Linked DNA regions of Alligator mississippiensis. The protein of the gene in region 1 interacts with the protein of each later gene in a pairwise test. Links are inferred from orthologs where the notes say so. Each region holds a gene or a part of one and is shown in the gene's direction. Other genes may lie near its edges. The genes, in order: FEZ1 and PDCD7.

What was found.
Region 2: the proteins of FEZ1 (region 1) and PDCD7 interact in a two-hybrid assay, tested with the Homo sapiens proteins (2 studies listed by BioGRID and IntAct). The link is inferred for Alligator mississippiensis from reciprocal best matches to the Homo sapiens genes FEZ1 and PDCD7.

The regions. Positions count from the first base shown.
Region 1 is NC_081839.1:18,274,238-18,289,300, forward strand, and holds the start of FEZ1 (fasciculation and elongation protein zeta-1), read left to right. Parts: upstream 1-8,080; 5' UTR 8,081-8,203; intron 8,204-8,513; exon of another isoform or gene 8,514-8,535; intron 8,536-8,704; exon of another isoform or gene 8,705-8,750; intron 8,751-15,063. UniProt on the Homo sapiens protein: May be involved in axonal outgrowth as component of the network of molecules that regulate cellular morphology and axon guidance machinery.
Region 2 is NC_081834.1:6,474,457-6,489,757, reverse strand, and holds the start of PDCD7 (programmed cell death protein 7), read left to right. Parts: upstream 1-8,253; 5' UTR 8,254-8,268; coding exon 8,269-9,084; intron 9,085-9,645; coding exon 9,646-9,784; intron 9,785-11,000; coding exon 11,001-11,237; intron 11,238-12,167; coding exon 12,168-12,255; intron 12,256-13,971; coding exon 13,972-14,089; 3' UTR 14,090-14,133; exon of another isoform or gene 14,134-14,143; intron 14,144-15,301. Other genes in the region: CLPX (ATP-dependent Clp protease ATP-binding subunit clpX-like, mitochondrial), read left to right, coding at 4,010-4,102, 4,345-4,451, 5,626-5,716. UniProt on the Homo sapiens protein: Promotes apoptosis when overexpressed.

The DNA.
Region 1 (15,063 bases):
CTGGATGGTAGCTCTGCAGAAAAAGACCTGGGAGTTATGGTAGACCACAGATTGGACTTAAGTCTGCAGTGTGATGCAACAGCACAAAAAGCAAATGAGGTTTTGGGCTACATCAATAGAAGTATTAGAGGCAAGACACAAAAGGCCACAGTGCCTCTCTAGACTTTGCACAAATTAGACCTTCTCTGGAGTACCGTGTGCAGTTCTATACCCCACACTTTAAAAAGGATGTGAAATTAAGAGAGGGTCCAGAGGTAGGCAACAAAGATGATCAAGAGCTTATATTAAGAGAAGCTGAAGGAGCTAGGCATTCAGCTTGCAGCAAAAGCACTTAAGAGGGACATGAGAGCAGTCTTCAAGTACTTGAAGGACTCCCATAAAGAAAAGGGAAAGCAACTTTTCTCTCTTACTGCAGAGAGGAGAACATGGACCAATGCCTTGAAGTTGCAGGAAAGTAAGTTTTGATTGGATATCAGGAAAAAAACCAACTTCTTCACTCTTAAAATAGTGAAGCAATAGAATAGAGTGCCTAGGGAAGTAGTAGACTCTCAATAACTGGAGGTGTTGAAGAAGAGGATGGGCAGGCAGTAGGGCTGTGCAAAGCTTCGGATGGTGATTCGATTTGGAGATTTAGCCCGATTCGGTGGTTGAAACTCCAAATTGAATCAGGGGAACAATTAAAAGGTCTGAATTGATTTGAAGCTCTCTGAATCTTTGGGAAAGATTTGAAGACCTTTGATGATTTGGACAGTCTCCAGTGGCTGCAGCAGGGAGTTGCAGCTGGACTACAAGCTGGTAAGTAGGGGCGGGGGAGGGGAAGCTGGAGGTAAGGACCATGATGAGGGAGGGGAGGCTGCAAGGCCCCATCCCTCCCTGTTTCCCCAGCCCCCCCCCCCCCCCGCCACCTCCATGGCTGCCCCGTCTGTCCCAGCTCCCAGTGCTTTAAAAAATAGCCCCACTCAATGGGTGCTGCCAGGTGGGTGGGATCCCTGCTGTCCCCCACTGCCCCACGCTGCATGGAGGGCTCTGCCATGAGCCTTCCTCCCCCTCTCTCCTCCCCCAGCCCTCCCACAGTTGCCCTACCCACCCCAGCTCTGGTCCTTTAAGAAAAAAAACTGAGAAAAACCCCAGGACTCACCACTCCTGAAGCAGGCTTGGAGCTTTGCGGGGCTTGTGCAGAGCTCCCCCATGCAGCACTGAACAGTGGGTGGCAGCAGGGATAATGCCCCCCCCCCCCCGCTGGGCAGGAGCAGTGAGTGCGGGGGTTTTCTCATTTGTGGGTTTTTTTCTTAAAGGGCCAGAGCTGGGCCAGGCCGGGAAGCCATGGGTGGGGGCTGGGACAGCAGGGGGTTGGGGTTAGGGTGCTTGTGCAGAGACCCCCATGCAGCCTGGGGCAGTGGGGGTCAGCAGGGATTTTCCCCCTGCCCGGCAGCACCCGGTGAACCGAGGCTTTTTTTGCCAGGAGCTGGGGCAGGCGGGGCAGCCATTGCCAGGGCTGGGAGAGTGGGCGGGGGACGGGCCTGGGTAGTGCAGAGATTCGAAGATTTGGCTGCTGCCCATCTCCAAATCAGATTTGGCCGAATCAATCAGGACAGTGATTCAAATCACTGAATTGAACCACTGTCTTCCAAATCAGCTGAATCTGAAGCGAATACTAGCTACTTCACACAGGCCTAATGGGCAGCCACTGGTCAGGGATGATCTAGGCATAGATATGCCTGTTTTCTCCCATAGGTATTTCCCATGCTTTGTGCTTTGTTGGTTTCCACCCTCCCACCCCCCCTTGCTGCTATGTATCAGGGTGTTTTTAAGTTTCCCCAGAGGCACTGGCTGTTGACTACAGCTAAGGCTAGGAACTTGGCTGGAATGTACTGATTCTCTTGCTATGAGCAAAACCAGAGGTTCTTGGCTAAAAGGCCTTGCCCCTCCACTGAGGATCAGACTGATCGTCATATGTGGGGTCAGGAAGAAATTTTACCCCATTGTATGATTGGTATAGACTGTATGGGTTTGCCTTCCTCTGTATCGGGGGGTATGGACCTCTACCTGGGAACTCATGAGCATATATTGACCACATTTTATAGAAGTAGGACATTGGCTGCCATGGTTTCACTGCTTTACCTGTGGCAGGTTATGGTGTTAGGTTTATGTTGTGTCAAGTTTGAGGGTAGTCTTATGTTGAGTTTTGATTATGGTTGTATGGGATGGTTTGGATAGAGATGACCCTGCCTCTGGAGGTCCCTTCAAGCCATCTTTATCTATGATTCTGTGACTCCCCACTTTCTGGGTATGCAGCGAACATGACTTGGAGGGACAAGACTACTCTTAGGGAGCCCACCTTCCACTCTTCCTTCCTTCAATTAAGATACCATCCCTGATTCACCTTATCCACAGTTCAGAGAGCACTTTGGTCTTGGTTTACATAATACTCCATGTAAATAGCTGAAATGTTTCACATAAAAAAAATATTTTGGTTAACCAACAGGTATGCACATTATCCTATGTATTGGCTTGCCTCCTGCCCTGCAGTCCAGCACCTTCAGAATAGTTTGCCAGAGCATCTCTTGTGAATGTCCTGACTTTTGCTGTGTTCATGGGCTTAGTCTATAGTGCTCAGTACTAGAACCTCCAAGGTTATGATCATTTGCTCAATTGGCTGTTTCCTGGCATTCAAGTGTCTGATGTAAGGGCTTTATGAACTATGAGAGGAGCAGATGAGTGGAGTCCCCAAGTAACATGGGGGTTATGGTCATTCCCTTCAACATGATACTAGCAAGTCCTGTATAGTGAAGAGCACTATGCTGGAGTTCTTGTAGCCCCCAGTGTCATAGACCTTGTCTAACCACTCAGTGTTTATGTTGGTGAATTGTTCCTGGTTGTCCACAATACCCTGCGGCATGATGGAATAGGAGATGGAATGAAATAGGAGACCCTCACACCTGATGTACTTCAAACTTTGGTGCACAGGGCATGTGATGACACTGTCAGTGCTATTGATGACCATAATGCACTTAAGAAACCCCATGCAAGGAGCTTAGCTATGCCCTATAGAAGGTTGGAGAGTACCAGCACCTTGGCATGCCTCAGAGATCCAGCCATGGACTTGCCCACACTGAAGTGGCTGGCTACAGACTGGTGGTGTTGTCAGGTTCCAGATGGTAAGTGCCACTCACATCTCCATAGACAAGGGCATTCTTACATCAGTGGCTTTCCCCTGATTGAAACAGGAGCAGGTCAGCACAGATCTCTGTAAAGATGGCTCACCCTGAAGCTCTGCCATCACTACATGTTGTATAGGGTCCTTGTGTCTATTTGTCCACGTGGCGGGCCAGTAGGGGGTGCTCCTGCGTTGAGCCACCCACCTCGCTATGCCCAGCCACCTTCCAGGCTCTGAATACCTCCCTGGGGGTGCCTCATGTCTGTCCGACCCCCTTCATGGAGCACATCTGCTAGCCTGGGGTAAAAACTGCCACCACCCAGGGCTGGGCTTTATTCTGGCTCTGTGCACCTTGGGAAACACAGGCCTAGTAGCCCTCAAGGGTACTTGACTCACTTTAAGCACTTGGGATGCTTCCCTCGGTTGGAAGCACAAGTAGTGGTCTCCCTTAGTCAGCCGAACCAAGGGGACCCCAAGGTATAATCTAGACCCACTCCCAATAAGTATCCCATGCTAGGTACAAAGGAGAACTTTATTGGTTACAAGGGGTAGGGTTGGAATAGGGTACAGAGTAGAGCAATATCAGATAAATCCCATAGAGCAAACTGGCATGGCTGGGTAGCCTTTGATCACACATCTGAGTTACTGCAAGCTATATATCTAGTTAGATCTCAGGTAGCTTACTCACAAATATCACCCAGAGGCAGGTGGCTATTCCCTCTGGAGGCAGGCAGTTCCTTGATCATGAGTTTTGAGAAAGAGAGCAAGTTTCAGATGGTCCAGCTCTTCTCTCTCTCTCTGAGTCATCCTCATGGCTGCTGCCTTCTCCTCCTGGGCAGTTCTTAACTTATATAACCCTTATGACCTCATTTACCTGGTCCAATGGAGGCAAGCACCTGTTGGCTGTCAGCCAACCAATTTGAAATGCATCACTAGTTGTTGGGCAGACTGGTAGTTCCTAGCTCCCCAGGTAGTCCAAGCCCCTCACGTGATGCCAGTCACGTTAGCAGAGGGAGCAGGTTTCCCCCTCCTTCAGGAATGTATTCAGGTCAGGTTACCTAAAGAGATAGGGTAAGATGGGCCCTCTTCAGGGCCCATCTTAACCAAACTGTCACAGAGCAGAGTTTTTGGGGAGAAACAGAGGTGGCCTTCTGCCACAGGCCTCACCAGGCCTGGATCATATCCCTGGCACAGAAACAGTGGTAACTGTAGGGGAGGGTTGCTGTATGCAGGTTGCAGGGTCACTTAACAGCAAGGGGGCTGAGGTTGGGGCATATAAAGCCAGCTTCTTGTAATGGAAAAGGCAGTCTGGCCCTGGCTGCTGAAGGCCATATAGCTCCCAGTAGACCTAGTTGCAGTGAGAAGACAAGCCAGTCCAGGGGATGTACCTGGTAGGCAGGAAGTAGAGGCCTGCAGGGAAGGCCCTACGAGGAAAGGCTAAGGGACCTTTAACCTCTTCAGCCTCTCCAAGAGAAGGCTGAGAGGGGACCTTGTGGCAGTGTACAAATTCATAAGGGGAGAGCAACATGGAGTAGGCGACGATCTGTTCACTAGGGCACCCCCTGGAATGACAAGGAACAATGGCCATAAGCTACTAGAGAGAAGGTTTAGGCTGGACATTAGGAAAAACTTCTTCATGGTCAGGGTTGCCAGAATCTGGAATGGGCTCCCGAGGGAGGTGGCGCTCGCCCCATCCTTGGGGGCCTTCAACAGGCACCTGGCTGGGATCACATGACCCCAGGGTTGGTTACTCTTTTCTTGCCTGCCAGGGTCAGGGGCTCGGACTAGATGGCCCACTGAGGTCCCTTCTGACCCTATGAATCTATAAGTAAACTGGCTTAAATAGGACGGCTCAAGGACAAGAGCACCAGAGGGTTTTACATTTGACTTAGGTTAGGTCACTGTTTTGTGTTTGAGTTTTACCAGAGGATTGAGTTCTGGCTACATGGGAGGAAGAGGCCAAAGTCCCATCCTCCACCCTTCATGAGACATGTTGTTTCTGGCTGTCCACTGACAAAGCCTGGGCAGCAGAGGCTTGAAGTTGCAGCAAAGTAGATTTACATTGGATATCAGGAAAAAATTCTTCACTCTGGAGAGTCCTGTAGGCTGGATGACATGGTTCTGTGGGCCAGATCTGGCTGTGGGCTTGGGGCTGAGCACCCCGGGTCTAGATCATTCCTGACTAATGTTTATCCAACCTGTTTTTGAACGCCTGCAGTGTTGGAGGGTCCACAACTCCCTAGGAAGTCTATTTCATAATCTTAAAGTCTGAGTGTTATATATACTAATCAATCCTCATACTAACCTGTGTTCCATCGTGTCCTACAGCAGTAAATGATGGAGATTATTGGAATGATAAATTTGGCTTTAGGTGCCTAAGTTCTGTTTAAATTCCTTTCTGAGCATAGACCTCTGTGCTTTACTCTCCCTAGCTCTAAAGTTAGGATAATAATACTGCTCATGGGAATGTTGTAATGATAAATTCCAATGTTTTGAGAACTTGTTTACTATGATGAAAGTAATATAGAAATATTCCAATATAATAAAAGCCTTAACACTTTGGTCTGTGTATCTGTCTGTCCACAATGCTCTGGGCCAACTGTGCATGTGCAGCCTGGAGCCTTATGGACAGAGAGACACACAGGTGAAGATGGAGGCATTTGGGGCCAGGGTGTGCTACCCACTGCGGGGCATGGCAGGGGGAGTGGCCCCAGGCTATGGCGTGGGGCGTGTGACCATGTGGAGGCTGTGGCACGTGGTACGTGGTGTGCCGGCTGTGGCCGTGGGGTGCGCAGGATGCGTGGGGATCTGTGGCATGGGGTGCGTTGGGCGGGGTGTAGTGCAAGGTGCATGGGGTGGGGTGTGGTGCGGAGGTGCATGGCCATAGGGCGCCATGCAGGGACTGGGCACGGGGGATTTGGGCAGTACCTGCCAGCTGCAGCACAAATCCGCAGGGTGGTCCCCCATGCCCGCTCCCCATGCAGCACCCTGTGGCCAAGTGTCACACTCCCTGCAACTGCGTACCACGCCCCCCCCCCGCCCCCCCATGACTGTATGCCAAGCCCCCTTGCATGGACAGCGCCACATCCTGGGGCCACTGCCCATGTCACGCACCATGGCCATACGCCACTTCCCTGCTCAGCCGTGTGCCATGCCTCCTTTGTGCAGAACTGCTGGGAGTGGGGGTGGAGTGAGGCTGGACCCAGAGTGGTAGGGGGAGCAGGGCATGACCCAGAGAAGCCATGGGAGGGGGGTGGAGCAGAGCAGGACCCAGAGTGGTAGGGCCGGGGGGAGGGGGGCGGGGGGGCGGAGTGCAGTACCTAGAGCAGCAGTGGGGGGAAAGGGGGAAGCTAGGTTGGACTTCGAGCAGCAGTGGGAGGGCACAGGGCCGGACATAGTTTTCTGTCCCCAGGCCCCCATCCCTGCCATCATTCATGATGGGCATTTTGGTTGTATATGATAACATTAATATTTTATAATCAAGTTTTGTGTATGCATTAAATAAGCCTTGAGTTTATGTGCATTAAATGATAGAGTTACAAAGAAAAATTGAAAAAAATACCCTTTCAGTGAATGAGACCAGGGTTGTATGAAAATAATAGAATGTGGCATCAGCATAAGGAGAAAAATTAAGTTTGCATAGGCATTCTGATTTCTGGTATTTCTTAATTATTCAGTAATGGGATTTGCAACCTTACAGCTCTTTTAAGTTTTTTTCAAAAAGTGTAATACAGTATAAAGCTAGACAATACATATTGTTTCAATTAGTAAGTAATGTTCTTTGAACCCCATCATGCTCAAATGTATTCTCTATATTATTTTCTGCGTGTATAAAGGGACACAGTAAACTTCTTGTAAATTCAGTAACATCAGAATTTACGTTCTGGGTCTCTCCTCTTTCCTTTCCTGTTTCCCCAGAAGTGGATAGGAGCAATTTTGCTGCAGTCATTTTCTTTCTCTCTCTGCAGCTAAACGTTATCTGCCTAAGGTATTGTTCCATGCTCAACCACTTCAGCAAAGCCTTTTCTTTTTGACTTCATGCTTTTCTGGTTGGCTGCTTTTTGCCACAGGCAAAAAAGATGGGGAAAGGATCTGGCACCATTTTAATATGTTCCTTTCCTAACTTCTTTTCATGCACAGGAACTGTGCGCCCCAAAATTGACCCTAAGGCTCAGCCGAAGAAAAAAAGAGCCATTGTTAATATGACGGGCTGAACTATCTGTTTACAAGGGAAATCAGGACTAGGGTAGACCCACAGCTTGTTCTGAATAATGGCAATGCCCATGAACCTGAATTGACTCCACCTTCCCCGAGCGTGCTAGTAGTATATAGGGAATCAATCAGCGATTTTAATGACTGCCTCAAAATGGCTTGCAAACCGAGGCAGAACAAGCCTTTGTTGTTGCCAGAGAGCTTTCCCCCTTATATATATTTTTTTCCTGGAGGGTGCTGGACAGCTGCTGGTGCGGAAATGTGTGCCTCTGTGAGTCTGAATAAAACCTTTGCCAAGTTCCCAAATGGCAACAGCATTATAGAGACAGCACGCTTGCCTCATTTCTCTGAGGTCTTTGTGAAGCAGCCTCCATTTTTATTGGTTTCTCCGTCAGAAGCAGGCTGGCGGGGTGCTCTGGAAAGCAGAGCTGGCCCGCGTCGTTTCTGAGAGCCTGGCATTTTGATTTAGGGACAAAATCGCTGTCCTGCCAAAGACTGCTGGCTGCCACAGAACCCACCGAGCACCCAGAGTGGGGCTTCTCCCCGGGCAGCGGCTCCCGTCAGCGTCTGCCCAGAGAGGGCCTTGCACATGGAGCGGGATCCGCCGCGCTGCTGTCAGCGCATATTGCTCGTGCACCGACTGCTCATGCATATTGATGAGGGAGGCTGGGAGGGCGGATTGCGCGGCTCTGCAGAGCGCGCCTGTCAGGCGGCAGGGGCAGTCCTAGCGCCGTCCGCCGCTCGCCGCTCCGTGACTCCGGCGGATGGGATGCCCCGCTAAGCTCGAGGCTGCGTGTTCTCAGAGGCGCTTTGCTGGCCCCACGCCACCCTCAGGTGCGTGTTTCTCTCTGTCCTTGCAGGGGAGCCCCGGGGGTCGGGGGTTCCGTGCGGCCGCTGGGAGCTGGCCCCGGGGATCCGCTGTCTTATTCCCAGAAGAAGCCGGGTGCGGCCGGGCGGCGGGGGCAAGCGGGCTTCCAAAACCCTTCAAACTGGTCATTCATTCTTTCGGCTGCTGAAAAGATTCCCCCTCCCCCTCTGCCTCCGCCTCCCCGCTGTGCGCAGAGCCATTGTGTGTGTCTGTCGGCGCCATGCAGGCTTGGGGGCTGGGGAGGGCGGGGGCGCGCGGAGGTGCCCATTGTCTCGGTGCGATTTGGAGCGGGAGGCAGGTGAGGGCTGGCGCGCGACGGGAGGGGCTTCTGGGGCGCTGGGACTCTCATGTAGGCGTGCAGAACAGCGGGGAGGGGCTCCTGCCCTGCTGCTGAATGGGGATTTGGGGCGGGTTGCAGAGGGCCAAGGGGCGCCTGTCAGCTGACCGTGCGCGCGGGCGCCGCGTGCAGAAGCCGCAGAGCGCGCACGGAAGCGGGCTGCAGGAGGCGTTTTGGTGAGGGACTGGGGTTTTACGGGAGGAAGAAGTTGCCGGGCTGGAGAGTCGTGTACTTATGTCTGCCTGTGGAAGGCTGCGGTTTTCAGGAAGACAGGTTACGCTCTTGGGAGGAGCATGGATATAGGGTGCAGAGCCCCGTGTGTGTAGCATAGGGGCGGGCAGTTCTTTTGGGCAGAGGGCCGCTTACTGAGTTTTGGCAAGCTATCGAGGGCTGCATGACATGCAGCCCAGCGCACATAAATATTATTTAAAAAAAAAAATGTAGGGGCCCCGTGGGCCAGATAGAATGGTCTGGCGGGCCGCATCCAGCCCCTGGGCTGCATTTTGCCCATCCCTGGTGTAGCAGATGCTGGGTGCTACCCGGGCTGGGTCAGTAGAATTTGTTCGGACGTGGATGCTTAACGGGTTTGTGAGAGGGGAGGTATGGTGTATGCATGCTTATGGAAGGAGTGTGCTTGCAGAGTAGCTCTTATGCATGTATAGGAGAGGCGCCATGTGTGCGCAAACATGAGGGAGGGGAAACTGGTTTTGCATGTGTTTATGAAGAGAAGAAGAGCACTCATAAACGGGTCTCTTCAGTCTGCCTTCTGTTTCCCAGTTTCATGGGCTTTAAAGCCAGAAGGGATCATTCAACCATCTAGTATGGTCCTGTGCACACTCTCTCTCTTTATTATGAGCTACTACATTTCACCCAGCTATCCCTGTGTTCAGAGACTTCAGGGAAGCTGAGATGCCTTCAAAGAATAAAATGTTGCCTGCCATAGGAAGGGATCAAGATAAATGGAGGTATCACCAGTAAGTAAGGACTCTGCAAGGGCAGGGAACTGATTAAACAGGAAGAGTCAAGATGGGCTCACTGATCCACACTTCATACTGGAGAGAAAGTGAAAAACCCTCCAAGTTCCTGCCAGTCTGATCTGAAAGAGAATTCCAAAGCTGGGAATCACTGTGACTGAGCATGTGAGCAAGGCAGACCATTCAGGTACATAAACAGAGGGTTAGCTATACCACCCTGGTTTGGTCTCAGGTCTTTATCTGCAAACAAACTCTAATGCTTGAGGAGTGACACTTGACCGCTGACTTGCAGGCTGAATCTGGCCCCCAGGGCCATGTCAACTGCCCCACGGGGCTCTCGACAGGTTTGGAAATCTGATGACAGGGGAGCAGTGACATCATTGTCACAACTTCCAGAACCATAGGAGTTGATACTGATACAACTCCACTGCTGCCAAATTTCCATTGTCATGGAAAGTATTACCAAATTTGCCCATTACTTTGGGGTGTGCTCATTTATTAGGGATAGTTTCTAGGGTCTTGGTGATTCTGTCAATGTGCTGCTTGTGTTACTATACGGAGCTGTATTTCTCCCTTCTGCAAGCCCTCACCCCCAATGGAGCTATCTTGCAGGACTCAATCTCAATGGGACTGGGTTCCTCCAGCCACCAAATCAGTCATACACACAAACACACGCAAATTAACGTGACACACCTGACCTGGCCAGGCTGATCAGCATGGACAGGCTGACACCCTCATATGCCAAGAATCAGTTCATAAGAGCAACATAAACTGCAGTCAGACACAAGCACACAGGTAAACAGAATCCCTCTGAATCCGGCTGGGTGTCCAGCTGACACCCTCATGGGCCAGCATTCAGTTCATAAGGGCACGTCTGAGTCAAACTGGGTCAATCAGCCTGTACAAGCTGATCCCCTTATGTGTTTCAAACTCAGCACGTCCCAATCTTTGGCCTCTTGATGAGCAGACCCCACAATAATTTTGGGCTTCACAGGGATCTTTAGCATAGGTAAAAGAAGCGTTGCTGCAGAGCATGGGAGGAACGAGAAGCAGAGAAGGAAAAATATACCCAATTACTACCAGTTTGACTATAAAAGTTATTTATTGCTAAGCATATGAAATATATAATAGTACTAGTAGTAATAGACATGCAAAAGAAAAACAAACACCAACAATGACAATACTACCCTGGTTTCACTAAGTATTTGGGGAAACTTAGCTCAAGCTTAACTAATACAGTTCAGGTTCAGAAGTTTATGCCTGGAGAGGAGAGAGAAATCGAGCGCTGGGATCTCACCTAATCCACGGTACTCAGGCTCCAAAGCTGACAGGCACAGTCCGTAGCACAATCCTTGAAGAGAGAGATGAACTGTTCTTCCAGCGTCCCAAGAATGACAGGGGATGGTGTCAGCACAGGGGTTTTCTTCTTCTTTCTTCTTCTCCTTCTTTCCTCCTGCTGCTGCTTCTTTTCTTTTTGAAGCACACACACTTACAGATTTTTATACCCTCAGTTCAGCTGCTTCGAAGCACCCTCAGTAGTGTAAATCATTGTCTTTTCTATTGACAAGGGGTTATCTGGTTTGGACCATCTCAGGAAACTGATTGATAATCAGGAAACACTTAAGATTAGGGAGTAACCAAATACTTGGGAGCCAGCTTGAAATTCCTATGTATGGCAGATATACTGATGGGATATCTCATGGTTTCTTCAGGAACAATAGATAGCTTGCAGCATCAGGATTTTGGATTTTTACTTGTTGTGCACAAGCCTCAGCTTAGCATGACTTTTCCAGATCTTACTATAGTCTTTTAACAGACTTAAAGCAATTAGTGGGGTGCTCATAACCTTTTGTGGAGAGGACTTCCACCAGTCGTCTTGGGAAAGATATGACAACACATGGGATTAGGGCTCCAGCAGGCTGGATACTGTGATGAACCCTTAACCATTGTTCCAATGTTGCCCATACCCCCCCTGACTCGGTCTCTTGCCTCAGCATTCCTTAACCCAGCAACCGAGTTTTAGTCAATCAAGTTTAAATAGGCCTCCCATAGTGGGACCGGGGAATGTACGGCCCGAGATGCCTATTAAACTTAGAGCTGTGTGTGTGTGTGTCTGGGGGGGGAAAGTCCTTAGCAAATCCAGATTAGAACTGGTCTGATAAATGCTGAGCTGGGTGTGTGTGAACATGGGTTGATTAACATTGGAAGCACAGATTCCTCCTCATGCAGCGCTCTCCTGCTTCTCTGGTCCCAGAATTCACTGCTTCAGGCTTTCTGTTTTCCATCTCTCATGTAAATGAATGGTCATCTGGTTCCATCTCAGATGTAAATGAGACCTAGGGCAGTTGATTCACTCTTGTCACCCTTATCTGGTGAGGGTCTTAGGTGCGTCTCTCACTGCATCTTAATCAGTTTCATTTAGGTAGAGGAGGGGAGGGGGGGGGGGGTGAGTCCATTGTGAGTCAGACAGACTGCATCCTGTGCCAGGGTTGCCCAAGAATACAGAGCTGAGGCGTAACAAAAGGCCCATGGGCCAGATAACATGACCTCACATGCTGGATTGCACTGGTGCACAGAGTTGGGCCACAGCTGGATCTAGTGCAGGGGTGTGAAAAATGCGGCCCATGGGCCATATGCGGACTGCCAAGCCATTCTATCTGGCCTGCGGGGCCCCTAAAAAATTTAGAAAATTAATATTAATCTGCCCTGGGCTGCGTGTCATGCAGCCCTCGATGCCTTGCCAAAACTCAGTAAGTGGTCCTCCGCGCAAAATAATTGCCTGCCTCTGATCTAGTGTGTGGAGCTTGGCTGGCATGCAGGATTGGTCTGTGGCCATATCTGATGTGCAGGGCTCGGTTGGCATACTGGATCACACCCATGGACCAACTCTGCACTGACCCTACAGCGGATCTAGCCTGTGGACCAAACCCCATCTACAGGATCTGCCCCATGTACCAGCCCTGTGCCATTTATTTAGCCCACAGGGCTGGAAGTTTGAGCAGCACTGCTTCAGAACAGAAGGTATGCAATCCCTGGCCCAGCTATGGCCCATGGGGCCTGGTCTCAGCACACAGGGCCAGGTGGAGGTGGCATAGGGCCCTGAAGCAGTGCAGGGCTTGATTCCAGTGCACAGAGATGGTACAAGCCTGAGCTGTGTGCACAAAGCTGGGTGGAGGTGCTTCAAGGCCCCATAGCCTGATCCCAGCATGCAGGGCCTGGTGTTCCAAGTGTATGGAACCTGGCAAAGGTGGTCTGAGCCCTAGAGCCTGATATCTGCACACAAAGCCTGGTGGAAGCACTGCAGGATCCCAGAGCCTGATCCTGGCTTCCAGAGCCTAATGGAGGTGGTGCAGGTTCCTAGGGCCCTGACCCTAGCATGCAGGACTGGATGGAGGCAGTGTGCGGTCCAGGGCCCCAGTTCCTGCATGGGGGGCTGGGCAGGAGCAGCATGGGGTCCCAGAGGCCTGCTTCCAGTATGTAGGACCAAGTGGAGGCAGCATGGGGTCCTAGGGCCATGGGGTCCTGTAAATTCCATGTGTCCCTGGAGGCTGGGGGGGGAGGGGCGTGGCGAGCTCCCGCAGGCAGCTGAGGCACTGTTGGCAGCAGAGGGGTGGGAGGCAAGTGCCGACCTGCAGTTGGCAACCACCCGCAGATGCCGCCTTTTTACATCTGTGTGCACCCCCTATGCGTTGCCAATGCAGGGCCTGGTGGGGGCAGTATGGTTTGAATCCAAGTGTGCAGGCTTGATTCTGAGATTGGGGTCAAGTCCAGCCCATGGATCAGTCCCATACTCCTCATTTGGCCCATGGGGCCACAAGGTTGAGCACCACTACTTCAGAGGATGGTGGGAAAAAACAAATGAAAACAACAGCAAACAATACAATGCAGTTGAAGAAACAGAAACATTACTGATTGCAGCAGACAACAGGCTGAAGCCTTGCATGATGAGATTGCCTTAAAACCATTAACTTAAAGCAGAGCTGTAGGGGTGCACTGATAGAGATTTTTGAGGCCGATACTGATAGCCGATATTTAAGGAGGCATATCAGCTGATACCGATCTGATTTCCAATACAGCTGCCTCTAGCTGGTAAGTCTGGTGTGGTGGAAAGGGAGGTGGTGCTCTGGTGTGCTCATAGTGCTCTGATTTGGTGCCAGAGGACTGGAAAAGGGCCAATGTGGTTCCCATTTTCAAAAAAGGGAGGAAGGAGGACCCAGGAAACTGTAGGCCAGTTAGTCTTACCTCCATCCTGGGTAAGCTTTTTGAGAGAATTATCCTGGCACATGTCCGCGAGGAACGAGCAGGGGAGGTTATGCTTAGGGGCAACCAACATGGGTTCATTAGAGGCAGGTCCTGTCAGACCAACCTGGTGGCCTTTTATGACCAGGTCACAAAATCCTTAGATGCAGGTGTAGCAGTGGACATAGTATTTCTGGACTTTAGGAAGGCCTTCGACACTGTCTCTCACCCCATTCTCATTAAAAAACTGGGGGACTGTGGTGTTGACACCTACACAGTCAATTGGGTCACTAACTGGCTGGAGAGGCGCACCCAGAGAGTGGTGGTGGACGGGTCATTTTCGACCTGGAGGGATGTGGGCAGTGGGGTTCTGCAGGGCTCGGTCCTCAGGCCTGCACTGTTCAACATCTTCATCAGCGACTTGGACGAGTGGGTGAAAAGCACCCTGTTCAAATTCACAGATGACACTAAGTTGTGGGGGGAAGTGGGCATGCTAGAAGGGAGGAATAGGCTACAATTGGACCTGGACAGGTTACAGGGGTGGGTGGATGAGAACAGGATGGGTTTCAAAACTGACAAGTGCAAGGTGCTGCTCCTGGGGAAGAAGAACCAGCAGCACACCTACAGGCTGGGGAACTCCCTTCTCGTCAGTGCAGAGGCAGAAAAGGATCTTGGAATCATTATTGATGCCAAAATGAACATGAGCCGACAGTGTGCGGACGCAGTCAGGAAGGCCAACCATACCTTGCCATGCATCCACAGATGCATCTTGAGCAGGTCCAAGGAGGTGATCCTCCCCCTCTATGTGATGCTGGTCAGGCCGCAGTTGGAGTACTGCATCCAGTTGTGGGTGCTGCACTTCAGGAGGGATGTGGACAACAAGGAGTGGGTCCAGAGGAGGACCACTCGCATGATCAGGGGCCAGCAGGGAAGGCCCTACGAGGAGAGGCTACTGGACCTGAACCTGTTCAGCCTCCACAAGAGAAGGCTGAGGGGGGGATCTACTGGCCATTTACAAACTAGTCAGAGGGGACCAGCAGGCATTGGGGAAGTCCCTGTTTCTCCGAGCACTACCAGGAGTGACTAGAAATAACGGTCACAAGCTGGCAGAGGGTAGATTCAGGCTAGACATCAGGAGGTGCTACTTCAGTGTCAGGGCAGCTAGGATCTGGAACCAACTTCCGAGAGAAGAGGTGCTGGCTCCTGCCCTGGGGGTCCTTAAGAGGAGGCTAGACGAACACCTTGCCGAGGTCGTTTGACCCCAGTACTCTTTCCT
Region 2 (15,301 bases), on another chromosome or scaffold:
GGCCTTCCTGAAGTCTAAGTATACGACATCCACCCCTCCTCCTGTGTCCAGGCGTTTCGTAACCTGGTCATAGAAAGAGACTAGGTTGGTCAGGCACGATCTGCCCGCCACAAACCTGTGCTGGTTTCCCCTCAGCATAATTTGCCCTGCCGAGCTCTCACAAATGTGAGCCTTGATAATTTTTTCAAAGACTTTACCAAGGATGGAGGTGAGACTGACTGGCCTATAGTTGCCCGGGTCCTCCTTCCTCCCCTTTTTGAAAATGGGGACCACGTTTGCCCTTTTCCAGTCCTCTGGGACTTGGCCCGTGCGCCACGAGTGTTCGAATATTCCCGCCAGTGGCTCTGCAATGATGTCGGCCAGTGCCTTCAGCACCCTCGGATGGAGCCCATCCGGGCCTGCCGATTTAAAGGCATCCAGTTCTTCCAAGTGACTCTGCACCACCTCAGGGTCTACGCATGGCAGTCTGGCGCCTTGCTGCTGCCTCTCTGCAACCCCAGGGAGAGACTTGTCGTGCCCCTCGCTTAGGAACACTGAGGCAAAGAACTCGTTGAGGAGTTCAGCCTTGTCCCCCCTATCTGTCACCAATTGTTTCTGCCCATTTAGCAGGGGTCCTGTTCCTCCCTGGGCCTTCCTTTTACTCCCAATATATCTAAAAAAACAATTTCTTGTTGTCTTTTACTTGGGTTGCCATCCTCAGCTCCATAATTAAAATATATTTTAATTTTATTACAGAATCATTTATCATGATTTGTTTGTGTAGTGTATATAGAAGGCATTGCATAATTACTCAAAAATAATCTCACTTTTATATTGTGTGGCAGGAAGGGTGTGTATGATGGGGTGGGAGGCTTGTGGGGGGGCATAGGGTGTTTTGGGGGGGTGTATATGTGGGGATGGAGGTTTGTGGGGTATGAGGGAGGGTGGGGGGTGTGGGGAACCCCCACTCCCCCACATGGCATGCAGCCCTCAATGCCAGCATCAGGCAGGGGGGCTTAGGGAGCTCATGCCTGGCACAGGCCGTAGTGGGGAGGAGCACAGCCTGTCTGTCCACCTCTATCATGGAGGCTCTGTGCTGCATGCCTGCAGCTCCCGCACTCGCACTGGGGGAAGCAGTGCTCTGCTGGACTCTGCAGTGAAGCAGGGAATTGGGGCTCCCTCCACTCCCAGCAGAGCCACAGCAGGAGGCAGGGAAGGCAGCCGGCTGCAGTGTGGGTTTTCCCCTGTTGCGAGTGTGGGAGCTGCAGGTGCACAGCCTCTGCCATAGAGGCGGCAGCAGGAGCCAGCTGGGAACCACAGGGGCCGGTCTGGCTCCTGCTGCATTCTGTGGTCCCGGCACTGTGGCCGAGAAGCGCAGTGTGGCACGGAGCTGGCCGGCTTGGCCAGGCACCTCCTGGTAGCGTGTGGTTCCTGGCTGCAATGCAGAAAGCAGCAGAAGCCAGCCCAGTCCCCACGCTTTCTAGCTGGGTCTTGCTCCCATTCCCACTCGCTGCCACTTTCTTTCCTGTGCCTGCTGCCACTTCCCTTCTTCACCCACCACTGCCACCATGCCCCCCCCCCGATGTTCCCCACACACCACCCCCATGTGTTGCCAGAGCGGCGGGCTTCCCAGCTGCATGGCCAGGACTGCACAGCACAGCAGGAGCCGGCTGGCTCCTACTGTGGTGGCGATCCTCTTCCCGCACTCCCCTTTCCTGCTCCACCCATCTGATTCTCCACTTTTGGACAGAGAGAGGTGTGAAACAGCCCCAGGGTCTCAGGCCAGAAGCCTCTGGCAGGCAGAAGCTTCCAGTTGTGAGCTGGGCATCAGGTGGGGGGCAGGCAGGCCCTGCTGCTGCTGGGTCCTGCCACTGGAGCCTCCTGGGTCATCTTTGACAGGCAGCCAGGGCAGATAAATATTACTTGTCTAATTTTTTAGGGGCTCTGGGGGTCATATTTTGCCCACCCCTGCTCTGCTGTTTTGGTACCATGTCTATAAGGCTACTCTGGCCTTTTTCCATAACAGGTCATGTTTACGTTGTTTGGACCTAGTTCAAGGCCCTGGACTACTATAGAGACTTTTTATATTACAATAAAAGTTCTGTTAACTGGTATCTTACAAGCCAGCATGCTCAATTAACTGGCATGCCGGCTTGTAAGATAAAGTGAAACTGGAAGTGCCCACCGTGGCACTTCTGGTTTCTCTGAGCCCCCAGGGCAAAGCAGCCTGTGATGCTGAGCTCCCACGGCCCAGGGGGCATAACAGGCTGTGCGGGGCCCGCCTCCCTGACCCACGGGGCCTGCAGGGCCCGCAGGAGGGGCGGTGATGCGGTGGGAGGGGTGGCGATGCCGTGGGAGGGGCAGTGGGATGCCCCAGACATGGTGGGAGAAGTGGTGATCTGGGCCACTCAATTAACCGGCATATTTTATTATCCAGCATCCCCCATTCCCAGGGGATGCCGGATAACACAGCTTTTACTGTAATATCAAAATTGAACCATTTCTACCTGCACAAAAACTAGTTAGAACAGACTATTTTGTGGAAGCTAGTTAAAATGTAATTGGTTAGATTGGGTCCTGGTGAAAACTAGAGGTGCGCTGATACATTGATCTGATCTCAGATCGGCACCAATATAAAGAAAAATGTCTGTATTAGAAATCAGCCATATCAGGCCAGTAATTTGGCTGATAAATGGCCCATGCACGCGCACATCTGTAGCGCAGCACAGGCAGTGAGGAGCACAGCTGGTAGCTGGTAAGTCTGGTGTGGTAGAAAAGACGGAGCAGGGGGAAGGGAAGGAGCATGGGTGGGGCAGATCAAGGCCCCTGCGCTGAGGAAGGAGTGGGGCTGGGGCAATCACTGCCCAGCTGGGATGGGGTGGGCTTGGGACAAAGCTGCGGATTGGCGGTGCGGGGAGGGAGGTGTCAGCACGCACCGCTGATCCAGCGGCTCGTCTGGTGCTTGCCTGCACATCTGGCAGTTCCTGCTGCTCGGATCTGCCCAGGGTGGGCTGGGGCAGGGCATACACCATGCTCTTCCTGGCTGGCCTGGGCTCAGGCTGGGCAACCGTGGCTCTGGGAATTGGGCGGGGGGAGGGGAAGGGGGGTTGCAGCCACCCTAGAATTTGCTGTAGTCCCCTCCCAGGACCGTCACCATCTGGCCTGAGCCCAGCTGGGAAAAGCTTGGTGCAGCCCCAGTGCACTCTGCACGGATCCGGAGGATTCCCCCCCCCCCCCCCCCCCCCCCCCCCCCCCCGTGCTGTCCCAGACGAGTGGTGAGAGCCACCAGGTGAGCTCCAGATGAACCACTGGACGAGCGGCGCGCAGTGGCAGGAGCCACCCCCTGGACTAGCCACAGCTCCATCCTGCACCTGCCCCACCCTGGCTGGGCAATGCTTGCCCCAGCCCCACTCCTCCCTCTCTGTGGGGGCCTTGATCTGCCCCAATCGCCACACCCCTTCCCTTCCTCCTCCCCTTCTACCACACCAGACATCAGCTCTCCAAACTGCCAGGCTGATATCGGAAATCGGATCAGTATTCGCTGATAACGCCTCCTTAAAAATCAGCTATCGGTATCAGCCGCCAAAACCTCTATCAGTGCACCCCTAGTATAAACCCCCATCCTCGGACCAGGGAACCTAAGACGGCCAGCATGACTGGCCATATCACACTCGTGTGCTGTTGGTTGCAGAAACTAACCTGACTTAACCATGCCAATCTGCCAAAACACTGTGGCTTGGGACAGACCTTGGACTACTTTTTTCACAGTGAATTATATGCATAGTCCAGGGGACCAGTGGCAAGGTTTTAAAAACCCAAAATAAGAGTGGAAGATGCTGCAATCCAGAGGGCTCTGGTGAGATCTTTCTATGTTTGAATACTTTGTATGGAAAAAGTTACCAAAGGATGACCTAGCCATTTAAAAATACTCGCATGCAATTTTGCCACAAGCACAGTTAAAAGAAAGATGGGGAAAACATAGAAGTTAGACATACAAATAAAATATCCAATGTTACTTTTCTACACGTAGTGTGAATTAAATGTGACTGAAGATGCACTGAAAGCCATAGCCAGACTGGCTCTGGACAGGAAGACTGGTGCAAGAGGCCTTCGATCTATAATGGTGAGCTCTTTATTAAGTAGCACTAATTATTTGCATCCTGAGTAGATGTATTTGAATTATGCGCATTGTCCTTGTCAAGAGAGCTTGTTCTTTAAGGGTAATTTAAGTGGGATGTTCAGTTATGGAGAATAAACCTTTTCCCAGTGGTAAGGGTAGTCAGATTTCTTCTAACAGAGTACCCAACCAACCATTATTGTGTGAAGGACTAGGTGAAATACACGTTTGTTTTTCTTTCCTCGTAGGAGAAGTTGTTGTTGGAGCCCATGTTCGAAGTACCGAATTCTGATATTGTATGTGTGGAGGTCGACAAAGATGTTGTAGAAGGCAAAAAAGAGCCAGGATACATTAGGTAAAATAGGAATGGCAATACCACAGCAGACTGGTAGCACATCTAGGCAAGTGCCCTACTGCTTGTCAATTAGGTGCGTTAGAAACAAGAAAATAAAAATTGTGCGCACCTTTTAAAACCAAGAATCCTTCTTTCTATGTGCCATACACAGTAGGTAAAGGGCACTTGCTACATAGTCGAGACACCTTGGCTTCTTTCTGATTAAAAATATAAAAATAACTGTAAATTACCAAATAAATGTAAATACATGACATTTGTTTTAACTTGACGTGTGCCTGTCTGTGGGTAAATAGTACAATGACTTTATCAAGAACATATAACACTCTGTTTAAATGGGTGATTGTGTTGAATTTCCTGAAGAAGGGGGGGAATTATCATTGTTAGTCCTTAGTAATAGGCAGGGCATTGAAATTCTTGGAGAAAAAAATCAAAACTGGCTCCTCTGATTCCCTTAGTCTGAAGTAGCTCAAAGTTGATGGCTACCCGGGCTGTTTGCAAGATATTTCTGCTGGTATTCTTGAGAGGGGTTGAGGCTCTGCTTCCCACAAAGGTGAAAGGATGGGGAAAGGAGTTCCTGGAGGTGGCTGGTTGGCTGAATTCCTGTTGAAATGATGACTTCAGTGCTGCTAGGATGATATTATATTAGTGATGAGTTAGAGCATCTAAAGACTTGGACAGAGGGTGATTTTTTTAAGTCTCGTTAACTAGTGATGCAGATGTGGGAAGAGGTCTTGTGTTTAAGAGACAAGACTAGGAGTCGGGGGTTGTAGGTCTCGTAAAGCTCCCACGTGGCATTCATTATGGTACATACTGTCTTTCTGACTAATGGAAATAATGCTGCTATTTACTTCACATTGATGCTGAGGCTTAATTCAGCATGTTGATTTTCTGCTGTAGAAGGAACCGCTGCAGTGTAAACCAGTATTCTCTCAGTAACAGTTGAATTAAGTGCAGAATAAGTGTCACTCGCTCTGCGTTAGTCCAAGCTTAAGCTTTGCCAGTTATCACAAAAGAATTCTGTGATGAACTCTTTCAAGCAAATAAATTGGGTTTTTAAAATGAAACTTTGGCCTGAGTGTTTTAAAGTAGACAATGTGCTGTTTCCATTCCAGTCATCCTGCCTCCATTCTCTTCTCAGATGTTAACATACCTGATCAGTTCATTTTAATTGTAGGACTCCGACTAAAGATTCATCCGAGGAAGAGTATGACTCCGGAGTTGAAGAGGAAGGCTGGCCTCGTCAAGCAGACGCTGCAAACAATTAAGTACTGTCAAAAGGCTCTCCTGCATAAAGCACACTTGGTTATTACAAGATCATACTGGGCTTTACAGTCTGACACTAAAGGCGTTGGATCTATCCGGCATATGATACATGGTCAAAAAACTTGCAGTTAAATAAATCAGATCATGTATTTATTGTATCATCACATTGATTTTTCTTCATTGGACATTATTTGGACTTTGGTGGCATAATGTCGAGTATAAATTGTACGTTATTTTTGTTCAGTTTGAAAAAAAAAAAAAAAGCTCTAACAAGCTTGGCAACACCTGGGTTGTTTTCTGGAACTAAACCCAATGCAGTTATTGCCAACAGCTAAAAAAACTTTTATGGTAATATTACTCTACAAATGGGAAAACAAGCTTAATATTAACTAGAGGATAGATAAACTATGAATTCGTCTTATAATTCACTTGGGTTAAGTTCAGGTCAGTGTTAAGTTTCTGTTCATTTTCAGAACCAAATGGGTGCTGGAGGGATTTGTTACATTTGTCTTGAGACATGCCCTAAACTGGATTTTCCAAACCTCAGATACTGCTTTATGACCCTTTTCTGCAAGTCTGCTAAAATGTAACACATTTACAATAATTGGATACAATATCTAATGCCATTTCCTAACTTCTTTACCTTGCCATTAGCTATAGGTTTAACAGAGCATCTGGAATACTGAGAGAGCCGGTGAAACCTGCTGGATTTGTGGAGGACGGTGAAGATGTAAAGGCAGTGGGATATACCATGTTGGCATAACGTTTTAAAATATTTATGTTCTAATACATGCATTTTGTTCGAATTATCGGAACTATTGTGCATCAATTTTTTGGTGCCAGATATTTGCCCAACCTTATCTTCTTATAACATTAAGAGATGAAGACAGTAAAGTTATTGTATAATAATTTTGATGTAATCAATAGTGACTGTACACATGACCATGCTTTTTTAAAGTTACACGCTTAAATGCTGGTGTTGCATCTTGTGTTTTTGTCTCTTGATTTTTAGATTTGCAGCAAAGCAAAGACCCTTGATTTCTGTTTTACACCCAAATAAATTTAATAATCCTTTAGGAAAGTGTTTGTGAAAACTCTAAAGGACTTGTATGGCTTTTGATTCATTTAAAAAATTAAAATGGTTATCTACAACTGCTTTATTCTTTACAGTGATATGTGAGTCTAGCTTTTCCTAAGTCCTGTTCCTGAATTTTGATTCATACTTGCTAATGAAAACCTTCATTACCATTTTTAGTCTAGTAATAGCAGTAAAAGTTTTTGGTACTATTGATTTTTATTGGTCCTAGTCCCCATTGTCTCATGAATAGTTTAGGGTTTAACATTTAAATAAGAAAGTCATGTCATACTTTATGTGCTTTTAGAAAACAGATATAGTAAACATGACTTTAAACCAGATGCAGCAGATGTTTTTCTCTTTCTGGTCACAGGTCAGAAAAGGCTACTTTCAAAGCTCAGGAAAGATTCAGGTGATCGGTTTAACCTAGCGTAAACTCTCTGACTTCCAGTATCTGTAACTTAGGTATCCTATCCTCCTTTTCCTTTTTGTAGAGTGAAAAGTAAAATGGCTTTTAATTCTGTTAGAAATTACCTTTTTTCCTCCAAACGGACTGAAGGCCATTTTAATGAAAACCATCAAACAACTTAGTTTTGAAAGTTGTTGAGAAATGTGTAATCAAGAAAAGTTTTTACAGAAACAAAATGCTGTGTAACTACTCTTTGTACTTCCAAACCAGCTTTGGCGTTTGAATAAAACAGCAGATATTCATGAACCGCCGATCTCTGTCATCCCACTTGCTGACGCAGGCTCATCTCTAGGTGCGAGGGCAGGTGAAACCAGGAGCTTTCGCTCTCCTGGTCCCCACGCAGTAGCCTTCCTGCGGCCTGCACATCTGCCTCCCACCTTGGAGTTGTGCCATGTGCCTGAGGGAGGGACAGAGCCTGCTGGCTGCGACTCTTCCTGTGCCCTGCTAGCCGCTGCGTGCACGTGCTAGCCCAGATCCGGCCTGTGCAGCGGCAAGGCGCTGCTTGTCCCACGCCCGCCCTGGAGGAGAGGAGCAAGGGGGGCCGCTGGCCCCGCACGAGTCGGGCCTTGCTGCTTGGGCGAGGCAGCACCAGCTTGGCCCCCAGCACCCCGCCCCCCACGTGCTGTACCTCCTCGTGCACCTTCTGCACCATCCCCAACGCCAACCCCCCCTTTAGTATTCACCACTGGACCCGCGTGTGTGTGTGTGGCCTCATGCATAGGCATCTCTGGACCACCTGTCTTCCCCCACCCACCTCATGCATATTCATCACTAGCCGACCTATCCACTGTGCCTCATAAATATTCAGCAGCAGCCGCCCCCCTACATCTTTACGCGCACGCAACACCCACCCTCGTGCGCAGTCACTCCGCCAGGCCCCGCCCCTTCGCTTGCAGTCACCGTCTGACCCCGCCCCCTTGTGCGCAGTCAGTCAACGCCCCGCAGGCCCCGCCCCCTCATGCATATTCAGCGAGCGCGGCCCCGCCCCTCCAGCCGCCTGAGGAGGGAGCATGGCCGGGCCTCCACCACCGCCGCCCTTCGCCGCGCGCTTCCCGCCGCCGGGCCTGGGCCCGGGCCCGGGCCCGTTCCGCGGCTTCCCGCCGCCGCCGCCGCCTCCTCCGCCCGGGCCGCGCTTCCCGGGGCCGCCGCCCTTCCTGCCGCCGCCCGGCCCCGACCCGCCGCTGCTGCTGCCCGCCGCCGCCGCCTACTGCCGGCCCGGGCCGCCCGCCTGGGCGCCGCCGCCTCCGCCGGGCTGCGGGCCGGGCGCGGGGCCGAGGCCGGGGCTGGGGCCGGGGCCGGGGCCAGGGCCGGGCGCGGAGCGGCAGCGGGACGAGCAGTGGGTGGCGCAGTTGATGTCGCGGCGGCGCGCGCGGCCCGCGCCTCCCCCTCCCCCTCCCTCTCCGCCCGCGCCCCCGCCTCCCCCTCCCACAGGCCCTGCGCCTGCCCCGTGCGCGGGCCCGAGCGAGCGTCGGGCGCGCGCGCTGGCGGCGGGGGCGCTGCCGCTGGTGGCCGAGGTGGCGGCGCGCTGCGCGGCCCTGCGCCGCCTGGAGGAGGCGGGGGCGGAGCGCGGGGCCGAGGCGGAGCGGGAGCGCGAGCGCGCCGGGGCCGCCCTGGCCGCCCTGCGGGAGCGCGCCGCCCCCCTGCGCGCCCCCGCCTTCCTGGCGGCCCTGCGGGAGCGCGCGGCGCGGGCCCGCGAGAAGCGGCGGCGCCGGCGGCGGGGGGCGCGCGCGGCCCGCGCCGAGGAGGAGGCGCGCGCCGCCGAGCGCGAGGCCCTCATCGACCGGTGGCGCGCGCGGCGCGGGCACGAGGCGGCCGAGAGGGCGCGGGTGAGCGGGGCACCCCCCCACCCCAAAAAAAACCCCCTCCCCTTTCTTTTCCTCCTTTTTGTTTTTTTGGCAAACCTTTGGGCACGAGCACCCCTCGTCTAGCTCAGTCGCTAAATAATTCTGTCATTTAAACTCCCCGATGTATTTGCTCGGAAGAGTTACGGCAGCGGTTCTCAACCGGGGCCCACGAGATATTTATACGTTGTCTAACCACCTGTGTTAACTAATCCCCGTTGAACGGGGGTACGTGAAGTCTCACTCGGAGACCGAGGGGTACGTCCACTGAAAAAGTTTCGGGACCGCTGAGTTAAGGTTGAAAGGACGTCCTGTTTCCGTATCCCTCAACCGCTGCCTTCGTTTTTGGCCCCTCTGCCGTGTTTTTCGTTCTCTTTTAAAATGTGCTGTTTTGACTTCCCGCATCTTTGTCGATGAGACGCTTCGTCAGTCCTGGGACGCCGTTACGGATTTCAGTTATTCTTCCCTTTACGCTTCTTGTCGCTGTCTGTATTCGCGAGTACCTGCCGGGGCTCACGTTTTCTTTCTGCTTTCCCCCCAACGCAGGAGCAGGAGCTCAAAGCGGCTGCCGACAGCGTCTTGTCGGAGGTAAGGAGGAAGCAGGCAGACACGAAGAGAATGGTGGAAATCCTTCGGGGCTTAGAAAAGCTTAGAAAACTGAGAAAAGAAGCCGCAGGAAGAAAAGGTAAATTTGGTGCGGTTTTTGTGAACTATTATAAATGCAGGCAATAACGAGCAATTTCAGTAGGGGGAAGGGATTTTTTTATTTTTTTTTGCCAAACCCTGTTAAAGACCAGGTACAAGACAGGATATTAATTAGTCGTTTACTTTGCAAGCAGCCTCACTTCTTTCTGGCTGCTTATGGAGTAAAGCAAAATATATCTCTCTAGTTCATGCAACCGTTGAAATAACGCACGCTTTCTGGTGAGACTCTAGTGCGATAACAACAAAATCTTGCTCAGCTTTTGTCCCTCAGTAAGTTTCTGAGGGGTTCAGACAGCGTAAGGGCTGTAGTAGTGTCCTCTTCTCATAAGCAAAAGGTTCACTTAAGGGCTTTATTGGAAGAGAGCTCTTAATGCTTTAAATCCTGATTCGGGCTTTCTCGGTGGCTTTTTGGTATTTATTTTAATAAGGCCTTCCTCAGTTTAACCTATTACCACTCCCTGACTTTGCAAAATATTGGTCTCTAATGGGTACCTTTGATCTGTTTTAAGTCCTTTATTTAACGCAGGGGTGGCAAAATGCGGCCCATGGGCTGGTTGTGGCCCGCCAGACCAACCTATCTGGCCTGCAGAGCCCCTAAAAAATTTAGAGAATTAATATTTATCTGCCCCTGGTTGCCTGTCATGGGGCCCTCGATGGCTTGCCAAAACTCTGCCCTCTGCCCAAAATAATTGCCCATCCCGATCAATGGCTTCTTTTGGTAAGACTCTCTGACTTAATAGTGATGGCGATGAAGAAGTAGTAGTTAATGGTAGACATGAACAATCGCATGTTTTATGTATTTAATAGTGTACAGTGAGTGTACCAAATAGCCACACCAAGAGGAAGATTCTGTAGCATCCTTGAGCGTAACCAACAAGCCTCATGTGCCAGCTACCTTGCTGGAAGGAGCACTGGGAAGGTTGCTGCTTTGGCAGATTTTATTCCAGACTTGTAAATTTTTAATTGGATGCTTTTATAATACTGCCTTCAAGGATCTGTTTTCTAGCATGTGGAATATAGCAGCTTCACTCCCATTCCAAACTCCTCCACGTAACTCATTTTATCGAAAGATAGCTGCGAGAAAAATTCTTGACTTAGACGCAGGTTTGTCCAAAATGCTGCGAATTGCCTCTCAGTGTGAAACTGATTTCGAGGTTGATTTTTTTTTTTTTGAAGTTTTCGCTCTCGTTCTGTAGGTGTCTGTCCACCCCCATCAGCAGATGAAGCTTTTGAACATAATATTCAGAAGATGAGGACATTGATTAAAAAACGGACTGAACTGTATGAAGCTGAAGAGAGAGCTCTACGAGTCATGTTAGAAGGAGAGCAGGAAGAAGAGAGGAAAAGAGAAATGGAAAAGAAGCAGAAGAAAGAAAGAGAGAAGCTTCTGCAGCAGAAACGTGAAATCGAGTCTGTGCTGTTTGGCAATCCGGGTACGTGGCTGCAAATTTTGCTTTGGTATTGGGGAGTTTTTGTGAAAACCAGCAAGGTTATGGTTAAAGTGATAGCATAAAGCTTTGTTTACAAAAGCCGACGTGCTGAAATAGGTGATGCCATGAAGATGTGGAGATGACACGAGTTCAGTCAAGTTCTTTCATTAAATTTATCAAATTCAAAAGGTGTGGCAGTAAGAACTGGAAATGTTAACCATGTCATAAACTAGTGTCTCGTCACATCTTGCAAGCCAAGCAGTTTAGGTTGAATTGGCTGTTTAGATTGGAGATGCTCAACCCCTGGCCCATGGGCCAGATCCATCCCCTGGAGTCATGCCAGCTGGCCTGCAGGGGCCCAAAAACTTGTTCGTGGGGGAACAGTGGCAGCAATTACTGCTCCCCTGCTGCCAAATTTCCGGACCTGTGGGGAGTCCTGTGGGCTAGATAGCATGTTGGATGGTGCATGTCGGTGCCCCGGGGCCTGGTCTTGGGCACACAGGGCCCAGCTGGAGGTGGCTCAGGGCCCAGTCCTGGCACGCAGGGGGGTTCCACATTGCTCAGCTGGGAGCTGCACCAAAAGGTTGCACACCATTGGTTTAGGTGGTAAACCTCCCACGGTGTAGATGCTTTAGTACTGGCATTCAGCCAATGCTATTTGTCCTTCCCATCTAGTACTGTGTGTTTCCCTGCTGGGCAGTGAAGAGGAGGGCTTGCATATATATGGGTAGTGCTTTTTCAGTATGAAACTTTTGATGCCAATTTGAATGTAGATCTTTCTGATAAGTTATTTGCTAATTCATACATTAATTTAAGCGTTAGTTATAGAGTGGCAAAGTGCTAAGTCAGGAAGGCATCTTCATTGTCTAGGCTTTCTTTGTTGAGCTGGAATTTGTGGCATTTTACTGAATAATTTTTAATGTGTTGTAACAGATGAGTTCCCCCTTGGCCATCTGCTGCGACCCTTCCAACAGTATTATTTACAAGCTGAGCATTCTGTACCAGTCCTCATCCAGATCAGGTGAGAGCAACCAGCATCTTTACTGCATACAATACTAAAGTGGCACTTGGTTATATAGATATATTTAAAGATAAAATCGCAGCCTCTCCTGGTTCACCGACTTGTGAATACAAAGTTATCTCTCACAAATACTAATCAGGTTTCTTCAGGTGGTTATAAATCTCTGTTTTCCTTATTCACCCTTATGAGGCTAAGAAAACTTGGATAATTTGGATACATTACTTTTGGTTTCTCTACAGTGATATCCTAGAGCAGTGGTTCCCAGTCTGTGGTATGCATACCACCAGTGGTTTGCATGCCCCACCCAGACCTTCCACCCATGAGGATGGGAATGAGGCACGCACATGTAACATGTACACACAGCCCCAAACATACCCTATTGCCTTGCTCCTACCCTTGTGGGCAGAGGGGCCTGGCCCCGCCAGCACACAGCTTCCAGATGGAGCAGCCCCCAGGTACCTGCTCCACTTCCCAGTGTCCTGCTGGCTCCAGGCAACAGGTGGGGAAGCAACAGGGGGAACCCCCTGTGCTTCCACCCCCCCCCCCCCCCCCCCCCCCCAAATGGCGCGCAGGCCTGGCAGGTGGTGGCAGCAGCAGCAGGTGGGGCACTCAGATGCACAGGCACCTGGATGGGCACAGCTCTGGCCAGCACTGCTCATCACTAGAGGCACAGCCTGTTCTGGCCTGTCTGTCACCAGTGCTTTCTGCACATGTGTGTAGCTCTCACACTCAGTGGGCATTGGAGGGAAGCCCCGCGTGCTGGAGCTGGCTGCCTTCTTCACTGGGGCTGCACAGCATGGGAAGAAAGCCCCAGGTGCCTTCCCCTGGGGGGTGTGAAAGTCAGCTGGCTTCAGTGCTGGGCTTCCCTCCTGTGCTCAGGGAGTGCTGGCGATACAGACTGCCTGACGAAGGATACGTGATGTGCAGTGCTGGCCGGAGCTACACCCCCACCTGCTACTGTGCCATGGGGGAAGTGTGGAGGTTCCTCGCACCCCACAAACCCCACATACCCACAACTCGCCCACACACCCCACCATACACACCTCCCCACACTCTACTGTACACACACATGTGCACACCCCCCCCACCTTAAGTGCTGGTGGCACTTCAGGTTGTATTGTTTTAAATTGGTGGTGCACAATCTGTCAGAGTTTGGGAGCTGCTGTCCTAGAGCAAGGGTCAGCAGCATAAGGCCTATAGAACTGGAGGGCTTTGCCTCTGCCCCACCCCTGCAGGGGCTGAGCAGCAAGGAGCTGCACTAGGGCTGGGCAGCTGGAAGCTGCTCCCACACTACTACTGCCCTCCCCATCCTTAACTGGCCTGAGCCTGGCACTGCTCCCTTCTGGGGGGTGGGGGTAGAGAAAAACACCAGCAGTGCAGGTGTAGTTCCCAGCTACGTGGCTCTCCCCCAAGCTGATGTGCTATGTAGGCCACCCAGTCCATGTCAGACTGGATCAGGGTTGTTCTGGCCTGTGGCTTGAGAAAGGTGGCCATGGCACACCCTATACATTTAGAACTTACACGTTTGTTTGTAGGGATCTGAGTTCAGCCTTCAAGCTTTTGCTTTAAAGAATGTAATTCAGAGAGTGATCTTATCAGTTGACTTACGTAGCAGACAGTATGAAAAGAAATGCACGTGTATCAGCATATCATAAGCAGTCTTATGGGTGAAGTGAAACGGAACAAACATCCTTTGTAAACATTCTCCTCTTCCAGGCATGAATGGGACCGGTATTTGGTACCAGCAGATCATCCTGAAGGAAGCTGCATCCCTCCAGGATGGGTCCTCCCAGCTCCTCCTACCAGTGACACTTGGGCCACTGCTGTCAGATAACTTTACCATAAGACAGTCTGAAGTTTTGGAGTGTCACATTAAAGGTGTGTATAGGTATGTCCAAATTGGATCTATCCATCAGTACCAGGATAGACTATCAAATCATTTGAAATAGGCCTGAAAAATGTTTTGGACCAGGCTGTAACTCTCTTCTTCCATTTGACACCATCCATGGTTGGTACTGAATCACAAGTTATGTAGTGACTAAAATGTACCCTTTGTTTTTGTGAAGATAACGGCTCCTGCATTCTAAACCCACTCTTTTCCATTCCATTTTTTGACTGAAACAGATGACTATTAGAAATGCTTTACTAATTTTCACATTTCTTGAGGTTAGTTTACAGCAGAAGTACTGCCCCTTAATTTATCTATGCAGATCGATTTACATTGTAAGGACGAATGAGTCAAAATGTTATTTTTCAAAAAGATTTATCTGGAATTCTAATCTATTATGTCTTCACTAAGAAATAGCTATACTAGAATTTATTGTTTTTACTTCTCTATCTCTTTACAAATGTTATGTATATTGATTAAAGAGAGGTAGGAGGACTTCCAATAATATAAACTCATACAAGAAGTCTCTTCTAATGAGCATTGAATTAGTTTTTAAAATGTGTGCCACCCACTTATACAAGTGTCATTAATAGCTGCATATGGTATGTGACTGTTGGTAGGAAATCTTGCTCTCAATCTTGAAACAAACATTTCTCTTTTAGAGAACCCCCAAAATGACTAAATTTAGAGTGTGTTCAGTTATAAATCCAGTGCACATGTTATTTTGGATTACATCTGTTTAGGCACAAACCTCCAAAATAAGTCTTCAAATGTACAAAAACAGTTTGTTTTGTTTCATTGTTTAAATCATAGTTTCAGGCTATGAAATCTTGCAATGTTTTTGCTTTACTGCGCTTGTTCTGTTCAACATCCTTCTAACCAAAATAAGTTAACACAAGCATCTCAATTGACTGCCTACAGACAGGACAGGGCTTATTCTGCTTTTTTAGTTTTCACGTGCTTGTAAAACATGACATGTTCTGTCTTGCCATGTACAGTGCAGCCATTCTTTTGGTCTACTTTGACATATGGCACAGGGCTCTATGCTGGTAATAGGTAGACTGGATTCTGTCTTCTCTTTCTCTTTTAACTCTTTGTCCTTGACTGCTACAAAACTCATTAGGTTGGTGCCTACAAACTCATTAGGAGGGCACAGCA